3 linked regions of the Coturnix japonica genome follow. The protein of the gene in region 1 interacts with the protein of each later gene in a pairwise test. Links are inferred from orthologs where the notes say so. Each region holds a gene or a part of one and is shown on either strand. Other genes may lie near its edges. The genes, in order: TOP1, BTBD2 and BTBD1.

Region 1 (3,594 bases):
TTTGTGTTCTCCCTTGGAAAAATAAATGGGAGAATGCAACTGCAGCAAATGAAATCTAAAAAATAGATCTTTTGAAAAGCTTTGTGCCATTCCTGATAGGAGCCCTTGCTTTTTATAAGCTGTAAAGGAAATAATTTAATCAAGAACAAACTTGCCCTGGTGGGTATTTTATCCTCTTTTGGCCCTAAGTCAATCCTAAAGTAAAAAACATGGCTGAGAAGATGACAATCTCATGACTGAAGGAAACAAACTGTGCTGTGGGAGCAAATAACTGGACAATGGATTAGTTCCATAAAAGCCTGTTGAAAGAAAAAAAGTCTTCGATTCAGGGGTTAGAATTTAAGTTCTTCTCATGAAATCATTTTTGTAAGGAATTTTTTTCCTGGATTGGAAAGATGCGTGTCCTACAAGTATGGAGGAAATCTTTGTTCCTTGTGAATTCATGCCCTCTTTTTGCCATGGCTTGAATGTATTATAATACTGATGAATGAGTGATATTGCCTTTACATTTGATGCATGCTTAATTACGCAGCTGAAAGTATGTGTTATCTGAGTAAAGCGGAGGAAGCCGTTTATATATTGAGAAGCATGGAAGACATAATGTCTCTGGTGTCTTTATAGTTGCTTCCGTACAAGCGTTTAATATCCTGGAAATCTGAATTGCTTACAGCTGCCTGGCAGCACAGTTTGGAGCTGAGCTGCTTTAGCAGTGAAATGTCAGTGTTTTTGTACAGTGAAACTATTCGCTCCTCATACTTGTAATGCCATGAGAAGCAGATTGGAATCGGTTCTCTGCCTGCTTTCTGATGCTGACTGTATTTCAATTTCTCAGGGTGAGAAGGACTGGCAAAAGTATGAGACAGCCCGGAGGTTGAAGAAGTGCGTAGATAAAATCCGAAATCAATACAGAGAAGATTGGAAATCCAAAGAGATGAAAGTACGGCAGAGAGCTGTGGCTCTGTACTTCATTGATAAAGTAAGTCTCGCCCCCAGCACACCGCTACCCCTCCTGCCCTGTTGGGGATACTCAGGACCGCTGTGTGTCTGTTCCTAAGGCAGAATTGTGCCCAGTTACTAAGGTATCCTGAGACTTCCTGGTGCTCAGGCCTCCATCTCCTTTTCCTTTCCCATTACCTTGAAATCAAGAGCAATGAACTATTGTACTGACCATGGTTATTTCAGGCAGCATTGTTTTAGCTCAGGCAAAATTCACAGCTGGGTCCCAGAATCTCTCCCAGTTGAATTACTGGGAGCTTTGCAGACCTTTTGTCTCCAGCTGTTTCAGTTTTTTCCTGCTGGGAATTTCTGCTACTTTGTCAACTCTTCAGCTGACCTCATAGTCATGAGGTTTCATAATTATGCTAAATTTCTCACCATAGCATAAAGAAAACTGAAGTGATATTGAATCACTTGGTGCTATTTAAAGCCTGCTCTCATAGAGCTGTTGCCTGCTACTACACGATATTTTGACCAGCCAAATTAACGGTTCCTGTTCAAAATAGTTTGATGCAAATCAGGGAACTTTTGTTTGAATAATTGTGTTTTCATAGGACTATTTAAGGTTTTTCTTAAACAATCAGAAATTGGATTAGCTGGGACAGCTAAAATACATTTTAATGCAGCCAATTGTAGCCTTTAACTTTAATAACCTAAAGTATCATATATGTTGTTTGAAGTTTGTTTCTTTAGCATGCAGGAAAAAGGTAGAAGATGTATAACCATCCTTTACTGGAATGGTTTGAAATGCTTCCCTCTCCTCTCTTGTCTTGTTATAAATGTAGCTTGCTCTGAGAGCTGGTAATGAAAAGGAAGAAGGTGAGACAGCTGACACCGTGGGCTGCTGCTCTCTCAGAGTAGAACATATCAAGCTGCATCCTGAGCTGGATGGCCAGGAATACGTGGTTGAGTTTGACTTCCTCGGAAAAGACTCCATCCGATACTACAACAAAGTCCCTGTTGAGAAGAGGGTAAGATATCTCCTCAAACATGAGCACAGACTGAAGCACAGGGAAATGTGCTCAGTGCACAGTCTTATTGGCAATAAAAGGGTGCTTTGTCCTTGGTCAGATACAGCGAGCCAGAAAACAAATCAATGAACGTTCTTCCCTTCTTACTGGTAGCACCTTTGTTTGGTACCTACCAGCCAAAACCTTCCTGGGCAGTGTTTCTTCCTTTATTTCTTTGTTCTCTACCAGTTTCACATCTGTTGTGATCTTGGCCTTATTCCAGAGTAAATCCCCATCCAGCAGTTTGAGCTGTCCAGAAAGACGCTGGTTTTGTAGATGTAATCAAACCTTGCATCTGGCCCACACCTCTGCAGTCAGCACAGTCTGTTGGATAACACACATACAGTACTAGATTAATTGTAATGACTAACTGCATTAAGTATTGACCTCTTGGCAAAAAAAAAAAGGGGGGGGGGAGAAAAATAACTACAAACTATGGCTGCTACAGAAATCAGCATATGCTAGAGTTCTTACTCCTTTGTTTAAAGAAGAGAACATTTTTCAGTTTAAATGTACTCATGTTGGTCTCCCTTCATGTCTCTTCTTCAGAAATTACAATAGGGAACTGATTATTGTGGAACTAGAAATCTCTCAGTATAAGGCATCTATAGAGGAAAAATGTGTGTTGATGAGAAGCTGGAAACTGGGGATTTGGAGTACACCGAGCTGGGATTAGTAGTCTCTGTATAATCAAAAAGGCTTCAATTATTTTCCCATCCCAATGAGACTTGTTTAAGATGGAATTGGATGAAGCATCTATTGCTGCAGTGCAAAGGGATGGGATGGGGTTTTGGTAGCTTTATTCTGTGGGAAATGTCTCAGAGTTCTCTCAGGCTGGAATAATTATTGAGAGAAAGGGGAGCAGGTGGTAGCATTGAGGTCTCCTCGGTTCGGCAACTAAGCAGAGCAGAATCAAGTCTCCTGCAATCTGGATCAAAAGGAAAAAGGACAAAGAGCATTAAATGCCCAGGACTCCTGTTGCTGGGGCAGAACTTTAAACACAAGCATTGTCTTAAGAGAATCATCTTTGCCTATTGGAAGTTGTGCCCAGCGTTGTCACTGTTGCCTGAGAACAGGTTAAATGGCATCTCAACAGTGTTACTTTCTCACATATTACTGCTGTCCAGCAATGTTCAGTCCTGATGCCTTAAGGTGTGGGTTTTCTTCTCTTACAGGTTTTTAAGAATCTTCAGCTGTTCATGGAGAACAAGCAGCCTGAGGATGACCTTTTTGACCGCCTCAATGTAAGCACATGGTTATCTGGGAGGGAATGGTGGTAGAGGACCATAAACAGGCTCACTCTGCACTAGGCAATAACAGCTGCTCTGCTCCAAAAATGGTTTCAGTGGCAGGTTGTCTGTTGCTTTTTTTTTCCCAGAGATGGCCTCAGAGACCTGAGGGAGAGTCTCAGTCTGTTGTCTGTATTGCTCACTTTGGCTGCAGGTTCCTGAAGTGATGGGCTTTTACAATGGAGAGCTTGGCTGGCTCTGACTTGGATAGGTTTTTTCACAGTTTGGAAAAGATGACTGTGAGTTGACAGACTTTGAGAAGCCATCCCTAACACGTTTGGCTCTGTGGGAGCACTGTG
Region 2 (4,359 bases), on another chromosome or scaffold:
TCACCAACAACCACCAGCTCCTGCTCCAGGGGCAGGCACAGAGCTGGGCTGCTGTTATTGAAACCACTGCCAAGCACCTCTGAGAACTGCTGGGAAGGCAGAGCTGGGCTTCCCCAGGGAAGCACTTGGGTCCTGGTGGATGTGCTCAGCTGTTCCCTGAAGCCAAGGCACTGAGCAGCCACCAGCAGTGGGGAAGCAAAGACTCCAACTAATTCCCTGACCCATTATGGAAAGGAAGAAGCTGGGAAGCACGGCAGCTCCCAGTGCAGCAGAGCTGGGTGCACGCTTCGATGGAGAGAGGTAGAAGGCGGTACGTGACGGAAGGCACGAGGCACAACGCTCCGGCTCTCGGGCTCCCAGGAAGTCCATTGCCACCAGGGAGCTCTGGTTGGAGTTTACTGCGGTAGGAAGTGACACAGCAGCTTTTTTATTCCTCCTCGGTTTCCATCCAGTTTCTTGCTTGGTCCCTTGCTGCTCTGTCCCCCATGCACAAGGCTCCCACGGGTGCAGTGCTGTGCCAGGCAGCATTGCTTGTGTTGGGAAGGAGAGCTGGGGACAAAGCACGGCAGGAAGGAAAGCACAAGAGGCACATTCTGCGACGATGGTGAGACAGTTGCAGGCTCTACTTCCTACTAACAATTAACATCAACTAATTGCACTCTAAGTTTGCCATTCTCATAGGCAACACAGAGCAGAGTGATCTGAAAGGGGTGTTTGCATGAAAGAAGCTCTCCAATCTCTACTCCCATTCCACTCATGGAAAGGCCGGTCCGGTTTGTTTCACATTGCTGAACCCAAATGGGAAAGACACAACAGTGCTCCAAACTCTGCAAGATCAGAGATTTTTCAGTTTCCTTACAGCACGAGAGGGACACGAGGTAAGAAAACCCCTCTCTATGTGGCATCTCCTTCCCCTTGCTAAGGAGCACCCAGCTCAGCTCTGTGCCCACAGCACCACGGTAACACCAACAACAGAACACTGCAGAGCCACAACCACCCCACAGCTGCAGAGAAACCCCAAAATACCCATCCTGGAAACCCCAAAATACCCATCCTGACACAGGAACAGAGCGACACGTGTGTCATTAAGCTCTATGCAGTCCCTGTGTGGGATGTCATGGCATGGCACGCTCTGTTCTACCTTCACCGCCCAGGGATCACAGAGCAATTAAGGAGTGTTTCACTTTGGGGCTGTTCTCATCTATGGGCTGAGTGCCCCCATACATGGCTCTTCCCACATCCCAACCCATCCCGCTCCCCCACCCCATTCTGGGCCCTACATACAGCTCTCCCCTCACCTTCACACTCTAACCATGACTTTCCCCATTTCTCCCCTCCGTTCCCCCCATACCTCCTCTAGGGCCTATTCAAGGCTCTCCCCTCACCTCCAGACCCCAAACATGGATATCCCCACATCCCACTCCCCACACCCACAGCCCTCCCCATCCCCTCTATGCCCCCAACCCAAGGGCTTACACATGGCCCTCACCTTCACAACCTAAACCAGGCTCTCCCCTCTCCACCCCCAGCAATCCACGTCCTTCCCTTTACCTTCAGCCCCTAAACACAGCTCTCCCCTTAGGGCCCTCCTCATCATCCCATAACCTACCCACAGTCCTGCCCTCACCATCATACCCTACACATGGCTCTTCCCTCACCTTCAGACCCTAAATGTGGCCCTCCCCACCTCACCTACACCTCCACAACCTAAACCCATCCCATTGCCCTCCCCATCTCCCTACATCCCCCTTAGGGCCTACCCACGGCTCTCCCTATACCTACACACCCTAAACCCGGCTCTCTCCACACCCCACTCCCTCTATGCACCCCCCAGGGCCTACACTCGGCTCTCACCTCCACAACCCAAACACAGCCCCCCATATCCCCCTATATCCCCTATACATCCCCTTTAAGGCCTCCCACCCCCTTATATCCCCTATACATCCCCTTTAAGGCCTCCCACCCCCTATTATCCCCTTATTAGCAATTCCCCGGTTTAAGGGCCTTCCACAGCCCCCGCCATATGCCCCCCTATTATCCCCTATACATCCCCTTTAAGGCCTCCCACCCCCCTATATCCCCTATACATCCCCTTTAAGGCCTCCCACCCCCCCATATCCCCCCTATATCCCCTATACATCCCTTTAAGGCCTCCCACCCCCTATATCCCCTATACATCCCTTTAAGGGCTCACCCCCGTATATCCCTATAATCCCCTTTAAGGCCTCCACCCCCCTATATCCCCGATATACATCCCCTTTAAGGCCTCCCCACGGCTCTCCCCCCCCTCAGGCCTGCTCTCCCCACCTGTGTGCCGGGATGCGCTGCGTCCCTCGGCCTTTCCCCACCAGGAAATGCACGTCGCTCAGCACCTCGTTATTGAAGAGAAAAGCGAATCGTTCCTGCACCGTCGGTTTAGTCGCCTGCCAATTATACACCGGTTCTCTTTGCAGCCCTCCGCCCGGAGGGGCCGCCCCCACTCCCAGGCCTCCTCCTCCTCCTCCTCCAGCCGTCGCCGTAGGGTTGTTGGCTCCGCACTGGTTATAGGTGAGTCCCGTTGGAGATGCTGGGGTTCCTTCGGAAGCGGCTGAGGCGGCACAGGCCGCTCCGTTCCCCGGGGGAGGCGGTGGGGGTTGAGGGCAGGATGAGGACAGACCCCCGGGGCCGCTCCCGCCGGCCGCCATCTTGTGCGGAGCGCGGCTCGGCGCGGGGCGGCGCTGCAGGAGCAGCAGCACCACAAGAGGCGGGCGGGACACGGCGGCGGGATGGAACGGGGAGAAGGAGATAGAGGAAGGGATGGAGGGGATGGGGGCGGCGGTGGGACGGGGGGAGAGGAACAGAGCGGGGCAGCACCGCGGCATGGAGGGGAAGGGAGGAGGGGGAAAGGGGTGAGGGGAGGGGCGGGGCGAAGGCGGGGGAGTGAGGGGAGGGGGCGGTTCTGAGGGGAGGGGGGGGCAGATGTGAGGGGGAAAGGGGCAGATGTGAGGTAAAAGGGGCAGATTTGAGGTAAAAGAGGTAGATTTGAGGGCATAGGTGTAGATTTGAGGTAAAAGGGGCAGATTTGAGGTAAAAGGGGTAGATGTGAGGGGAAAGGGGTAGATTTGAGGTAAAAGAGGTAGATTTGAGGTAAAAGGGGCAGATTTGAGGTGAAAGGGGTAGATTTGAGGTAAAATGGGTAGATTTGAGGGCACAGGGGCAGATAGGGGAGGGGTGGGCAGTTGTGAGGGGTATGAGGGGCAGATTTGAGGTAAAAGAGGTAGATTTGAGGTAAAAGGGGTAGATTTGAGGTAAAAGGGGTAGATTTGAGGTAAAAGGGGTAGATTTGAGGGGAAAGGGGCAGATAGGGGAGGGGTGGGCAGTTGTGAGGGGTGTGAGGGGCAGATTTGAGGTAAAAGAGGTAGATTTGAGGTAAAAGGGGCAGATTTGAGGGGAAAAGGGTAGATTTGAGGTAAAAGGGGTAGATTTGAGGGGAAAGGGGCAGATAGGGGAGGGGTGGGCAGTTGTGAGGGGTGTGAGGGGTAGATTTGAGGTAAAAGGGGTAGATTTGAGGTAAAAGGGGCAGATTTGAGGGCATAGGGGCAGATAGGGGGGGGTGGGCAGTTGTGAGGGGTGTGAGGGGCAGAATTGAGGTAAAAGGGGCAGATTTGAATAAAAGGGGTAGATGTGAGGGGAAAGGGGTAGATAGGGGAGGGGTGGGCAGTTGTGAAGGGAGAATGGGAGGTTGTGAGGGAGATAAGTGGCTCTGAGGGGCAGTTCTGGGGTCTGGGGCAGATCTGAGGGGTCTGAGGGGCAGATGTGAGGGGAAAGGGGCAGATTTGAGGGCACAGGGGGAGATAGGGGAGGGGTGGGAAGCAAACACACAGTGCTGGTGCATCCCTCCACTGCAGCAGTGCACTGCCTGCCCCTCTGCTGCCACACGGAGCTGTACCTGGTATAGGGTCGGAGCTTTGAAACCCTGCACAGCTGAGGGACCTCATGGGATCGATCTCTGTGGCTGCAACACACCGGTGTGGATGGACGGCTTTGCTGCAGTGCACACCCGGCAGGTTTCTGCTGCATTATCCTAATTGGGGGGAACTCCCATTACCCACAGCTATGCTAGTGCCCAGAGCCGGCCATTAACTGACCCTTCTGCATGCAGGAATGCACGGCAGCCTCGAGAGGGAAGCTGCTTTACCTCTGAAATCTTCCTGCTATGACTGATAACCGAGCACTGAACATGGACACACAAACACCTTCTCCTTGCATCACGTCGCAGCCTTACACCCCTTTTGCTGGCGGAGCTGCTTTCCATGCATTTCAGCGTTGGTTTTTTCACTCAAAGCTGTGTTTTTTCGCTCTGTCCTCCTTGTGTTTAGC
Region 3 (4,374 bases), on another chromosome or scaffold:
CTGCAGCCAACTTAAAATAGTGAATAAATATGTCCACAAGAAAAACTGAAACACTGTCAAAATAGCTTGGCAAAGGTGTTCAAATTGTTCAGTTTTTAACTACTAGTAAATTATCTCCAACAGTTTTTGCATTACTTCATTACTTTAATGTTTCTTTTATCTTGATGTTCCCTGCCATGAATATACAAAGATCCAACTCAGTCCCAAGCAATTATACTTCAAAACGGTCTCTGCAAAGATTAAAGGAGTGCCCTACAAAAAGCACTCATCACTATTTGAGCAACTTCTTTATGACAGATACAAGGTCAGCAGTGGCCAACACCAAGGAAATAACAAACAGCTTGTCTTACAGTTGTTATACACTAAGAACAGTGTATAGGGGCACAGAAGTCCCGTACTAGTTTGTGTTAAAGAAGATCTCAAGTATGTTTCTAACAAGGTGTTACAATTTATATTTACTCCAATATTAGCTTGTTGCACATGTATCAAGGCCTGAGTCTAGAGAGGGAGCACTATAAAATACTTAAGTTCATTCAAAAAAGCTGCTAAGCATTCCATAGCAAAGACAACATCAAACCGGAGCCACCCCAGCAGTTGATCAGTCTGGTGATGTTTAGACACGATACAAGTATAATCAACGTACTTACAAAAGTCCCCTGGCCATTACCAGCCCTACAAACACAAGGTGGCTTTTGTTTGCTTCTAACAGCAACTCTACGCTCACTTCTACTTCTTAGCCTTACTCATAACTCTCCTGCTTCTGTGCTTCTGTATGCAGTCAAAACAAGCACCTCTCATTATAACTTCTCACTGTCTGGTGGCTTTTACACATACACACACATACATGTCACAGTGACTTACTTTTAACTACTGAAATCATTTCTGCTTGGAAGACAACTTCCCACTACTCAGCACCAGCCCCTCACCTTAAAGTCTGCCATTCCCTCTTTGCTAAGATAGCAGAAAATACAGTTTGTTTGCTAATAAGCAACGAACTCACCACACTGTGGCTTTCCTTAAAGCAAAACCAGTTGCTGCAAACCTTGTTTCCACAATTACTAAAGCACCGTGTTATTCTTCTCACAGTTCTCACCTCAAACCAAAAAGAAAGCTACTTTTTTTCTGCAGTACTAGAAGTTTAGAGACATTACACATTTCTTTCCAGGCAATAATAGTGCTTGATTTCTAAATGTTCATTACAGAAATCTGTTTAATGCATTTTATACAAGTTTTGCCTAGCAAAAAGATATCATTGAGCAGACGAGTTGTCTGACCACAGGTCAGCAATAAACCTGACGCACAGAGAAAGTATCAGGAATTGTCTCTGTGACCATTTACCACCACACTGGGTAAAACTAAAGTGCAGACAGGTTTGTAACAAACCCTTCTGTGGTCAAATCAGAAACCAGTACCCACTTTGCACACTTCCCCATCACCGCACTCCTGCTCTCACTTATGTGACTTGTGCATCACATCAGATAACTGTGTTCTGCTGCATGTTCTCTCCAGCCAAAGCTATCTGAAACGTGTGACTGCAAAAGGGATGGTAACTATTTGGTTATGATGGTAAACACAATTTGCTCTGCCTCTGAAAGATAAAAAGCTCATTGTAAGAGGAGTGATGGTCCTGCATGGAGCCAAGAGTGGGATGTGGTGATTGTCATTTGCGTTCCTTCCAACTTGGGATATTCTATGATTCTACGAGTAAACCTTCAAAGTAAACTATCAAATGAAACGAAAAGCTCAGTACAACAGCTTCAGTTCCTTCCTGGCGCCGTTGGGTGGACGGGCAGTGCCAACAGAGATTGCCGAGCCACTAAATCCCATCGTCTTGCAGAAAACACACAACCAAACAGCCCGACAGGGCAACACAGTATCACAGAATGACCCGGGTTGGAAGGGACCTCAAGGATCATGGAGTTCCAACCCCCCTGCCTGGCAGGGCCACCAAACATACACCTTTACTAGATCAGGTTGCCCAGGGCCCNGGACGGGGCATCCACAACCTCCCTGGGCAGCCTGTTCCAGGGCCTGACCACTCTCCTAGTGAAGAACTTCCCCCTAACATCCAACCTAAATCTTCCCTCTTTTAACTTAAAACCATTTCCCCGTGTCCTGCTATTGTCAGCCCTTTCCAAGACTTTACTCCCCGAGCGGCCGTCCCGGAACGAGGCCGCTGCAGTCGCGGCAGGGCGCGCAGGCCGTAGCAGCAGCAGGACGCAGCAGGACGCCGTGCCCTTGCCCCGGCCGAGCAGCGCACACTGCCGTCCCCACCCCCGCACCGCCCCCTCGCCCCGGGCCTGACCTGAGCAGCGCCAGGAAGGCGGCGGGCTCCACGTCGGGCAGCTCGATCTCGGCCGAAGTGGTGGCCATGCCGCCGTTAAACATCGCGTCGAACACGGCGCTGCCGGCCGCCAGCACGAAGCGGTGCGCGGGGATGCGCTGCTGGCCGGGTCCCGGAGGCGCCGCCCCGGCTCCGCCGCCTCGCGGGCCGCCCTTGCCCACCACGAAGTGCACGTCGCTCAGCAGCTCGTTGGAGAACAGGAAGGCGAAGCGCTCCCGCAGCGAGCCCTTGGTGGCCTGCCAGTTGTACAGCGGCTCCCGCTGCAGCACCGCGCCGCTCTCCGCGCCGGTGGGAGCGGTCGTGGTGGCTGAAGCGGCGGCGGCACCGGCAGCAGCGGGAGGCGCCTCCACGGGCGAACCGCCACCGGCCGCCGCCATCACCGCCCTGAGGGGCCGGGCCGGGCCTCACTCAACCGGCGGCACAGGCATCTCCGCCGCGCGAAGGGACGTCAGCAGCTCAATGCGCAGGCGCGCAATGACGCCATTCCGGCCCGATGGGCGCGGCCATGTTCGGCGCGGGGGAGGCCGGGAGTAGCGGGGGGTGTAATGGGACTAGAGAATGGGGCTGGGGATGGGATGTGGAGATGGGACTTGGTGCGTTGACAGGCTGAGGGAGTTGGGTTTGTTCAGCCTGGAGAAGAGAAGGTTGCGGGGTGACCTCACTGCAGCCTTTCAATACCTGAAGGGAACTTACTCCCAGGAGGGGAGTAAACTCTTAGAAAGGGCTGACAATAGCAGGACATGGGGAAATGGTTTTAAGTTAAAAGAGGGAAGATTTAGGTTGGATGTTAGGGGGAAGTTCTTCACTAGGAGAGTGGTTAGGCCCTGGAACAGGCTGCCCAGGGAGGTTGTGGATGCCCCGTCCTTGGAGGTGTTCAAGGCCAGGTTGGACGGGGCCCTGAGCAACCTGATCTAGTAAAGGTGTATGTTTGGTGGCCCTGCCAGGAAGGGGGTTGGAACTCCATGATCCTTGAGGTCCCTTCCAACCCGGGTCACTCTGTGATTCTGTGATTCTGCGTTAGTGACCGAATAACGCTGTGCTGTGAAGGCACGTGGGACGCAAATTGGTTATAATAATACCTAATGAACCGGCAAAACGAGCATGGACGCCTGTTCTACTTATTTCTGGAATAACATCAAAATATTGTTGCCGTTTGAGTATGTGTGCTGTGCCATTTATGTACAAAAGCAATCGGCTCGAAGGGATGTGTTTATTTCCATCACAGACTTATCACCCTCGGTCCAGCAGTGCTGTCCTTTGAGACATAAGCTGGATCCTTTCGCCATCTGCTGGAGCTTTGCTGTACATACAGCAGCAATGTACAGAGCTGGAGGTATCCGGCACAGCTCCTGACTTGTCAGCGTGTGGCTAAAAGAGGAATATAGTATGTCACCTCTCCGCGTTTAGGTTTATTATTAGGACAAAACTGAGACCAGGAAAATGCGGTGTGCTTCTCAGAACGAGTTTTAGGGAACCTTAGGCGAGATGGAAGCGATTGAAATGGGATAAAGGGCACGAGAAGACATAGTATACCGACCGTACAGCAGCGAGTAGCACAGGGGCTATATTTAAAAGTAAGGTCATACTGCTGACTTGGAAGAACGAAAGCAGCACCTTTGTGTTTTCCTTGCCCCAAGGTGGACAAGGAGCAGAAAGGAGGCAAAGCCCAGTTACCCTCCAATAGCTGAGGCTCTGAGAACCCTGGAAGCTGAGATGTTCTGCAGCTTGCTGCTTCGGTGCCATATAACATTCAGAGGAACCTGAAGCGACCAGCTTGAGAGCTCTTTGTAGGGGAGGAAAGTGCCAGCTTTTATGAAATTCAATGAATCAGTTGTCATGGGAACTGGGGAAAAAAAGCACGAGGGAAATGGTGACAATGTGGATGGGTGCATTACTGTCTGGGAGTCGTTTTGTTTCAGTCAAGGGATGACCTGGGCATTAATGAGTTCTCTTCGTTGTTATCTTTCTCCTGTCTTTCAATGATCGTTCACAGGTTGGTTTGTCAAATGGGAGCCAACATTTGTGACTGC

The links.
Region 2: the proteins of TOP1 (region 1) and BTBD2 interact in a two-hybrid assay, tested with the Homo sapiens proteins (2 studies listed by BioGRID). The link is inferred for Coturnix japonica from reciprocal best matches to the Homo sapiens genes TOP1 and BTBD2.
Region 3: the proteins of TOP1 (region 1) and BTBD1 interact in a two-hybrid assay, tested with the Homo sapiens proteins (2 studies listed by BioGRID). The link is inferred for Coturnix japonica from reciprocal best matches to the Homo sapiens genes TOP1 and BTBD1.

The regions. Positions count from the first base shown.
Region 1 is NC_029535.1:4,186,800-4,190,393, forward strand, and holds part of TOP1 (DNA topoisomerase 1), read left to right. Parts: intron 1-832; coding exon 833-976; intron 977-1,781; coding exon 1,782-1,967; intron 1,968-3,181; coding exon 3,182-3,250; intron 3,251-3,594. UniProt on the Homo sapiens protein: Releases the supercoiling and torsional tension of DNA introduced during the DNA replication and transcription by transiently cleaving and rejoining one strand of the DNA duplex.
Region 2 is NC_029543.1:1,317,068-1,321,426, reverse strand, and holds the start of BTBD2 (BTB/POZ domain-containing protein 2), read right to left. Parts: upstream 2,873-4,359; 5' UTR 2,862-2,872; coding exon 2,308-2,861; intron 1-2,307.
Region 3 is NC_029525.1:9,963,304-9,967,677, forward strand, and holds the start of BTBD1 (BTB/POZ domain-containing protein 1), read right to left. Parts: upstream 2,802-4,374; 5' UTR 2,722-2,801; coding exon 2,306-2,721; intron 1-2,305.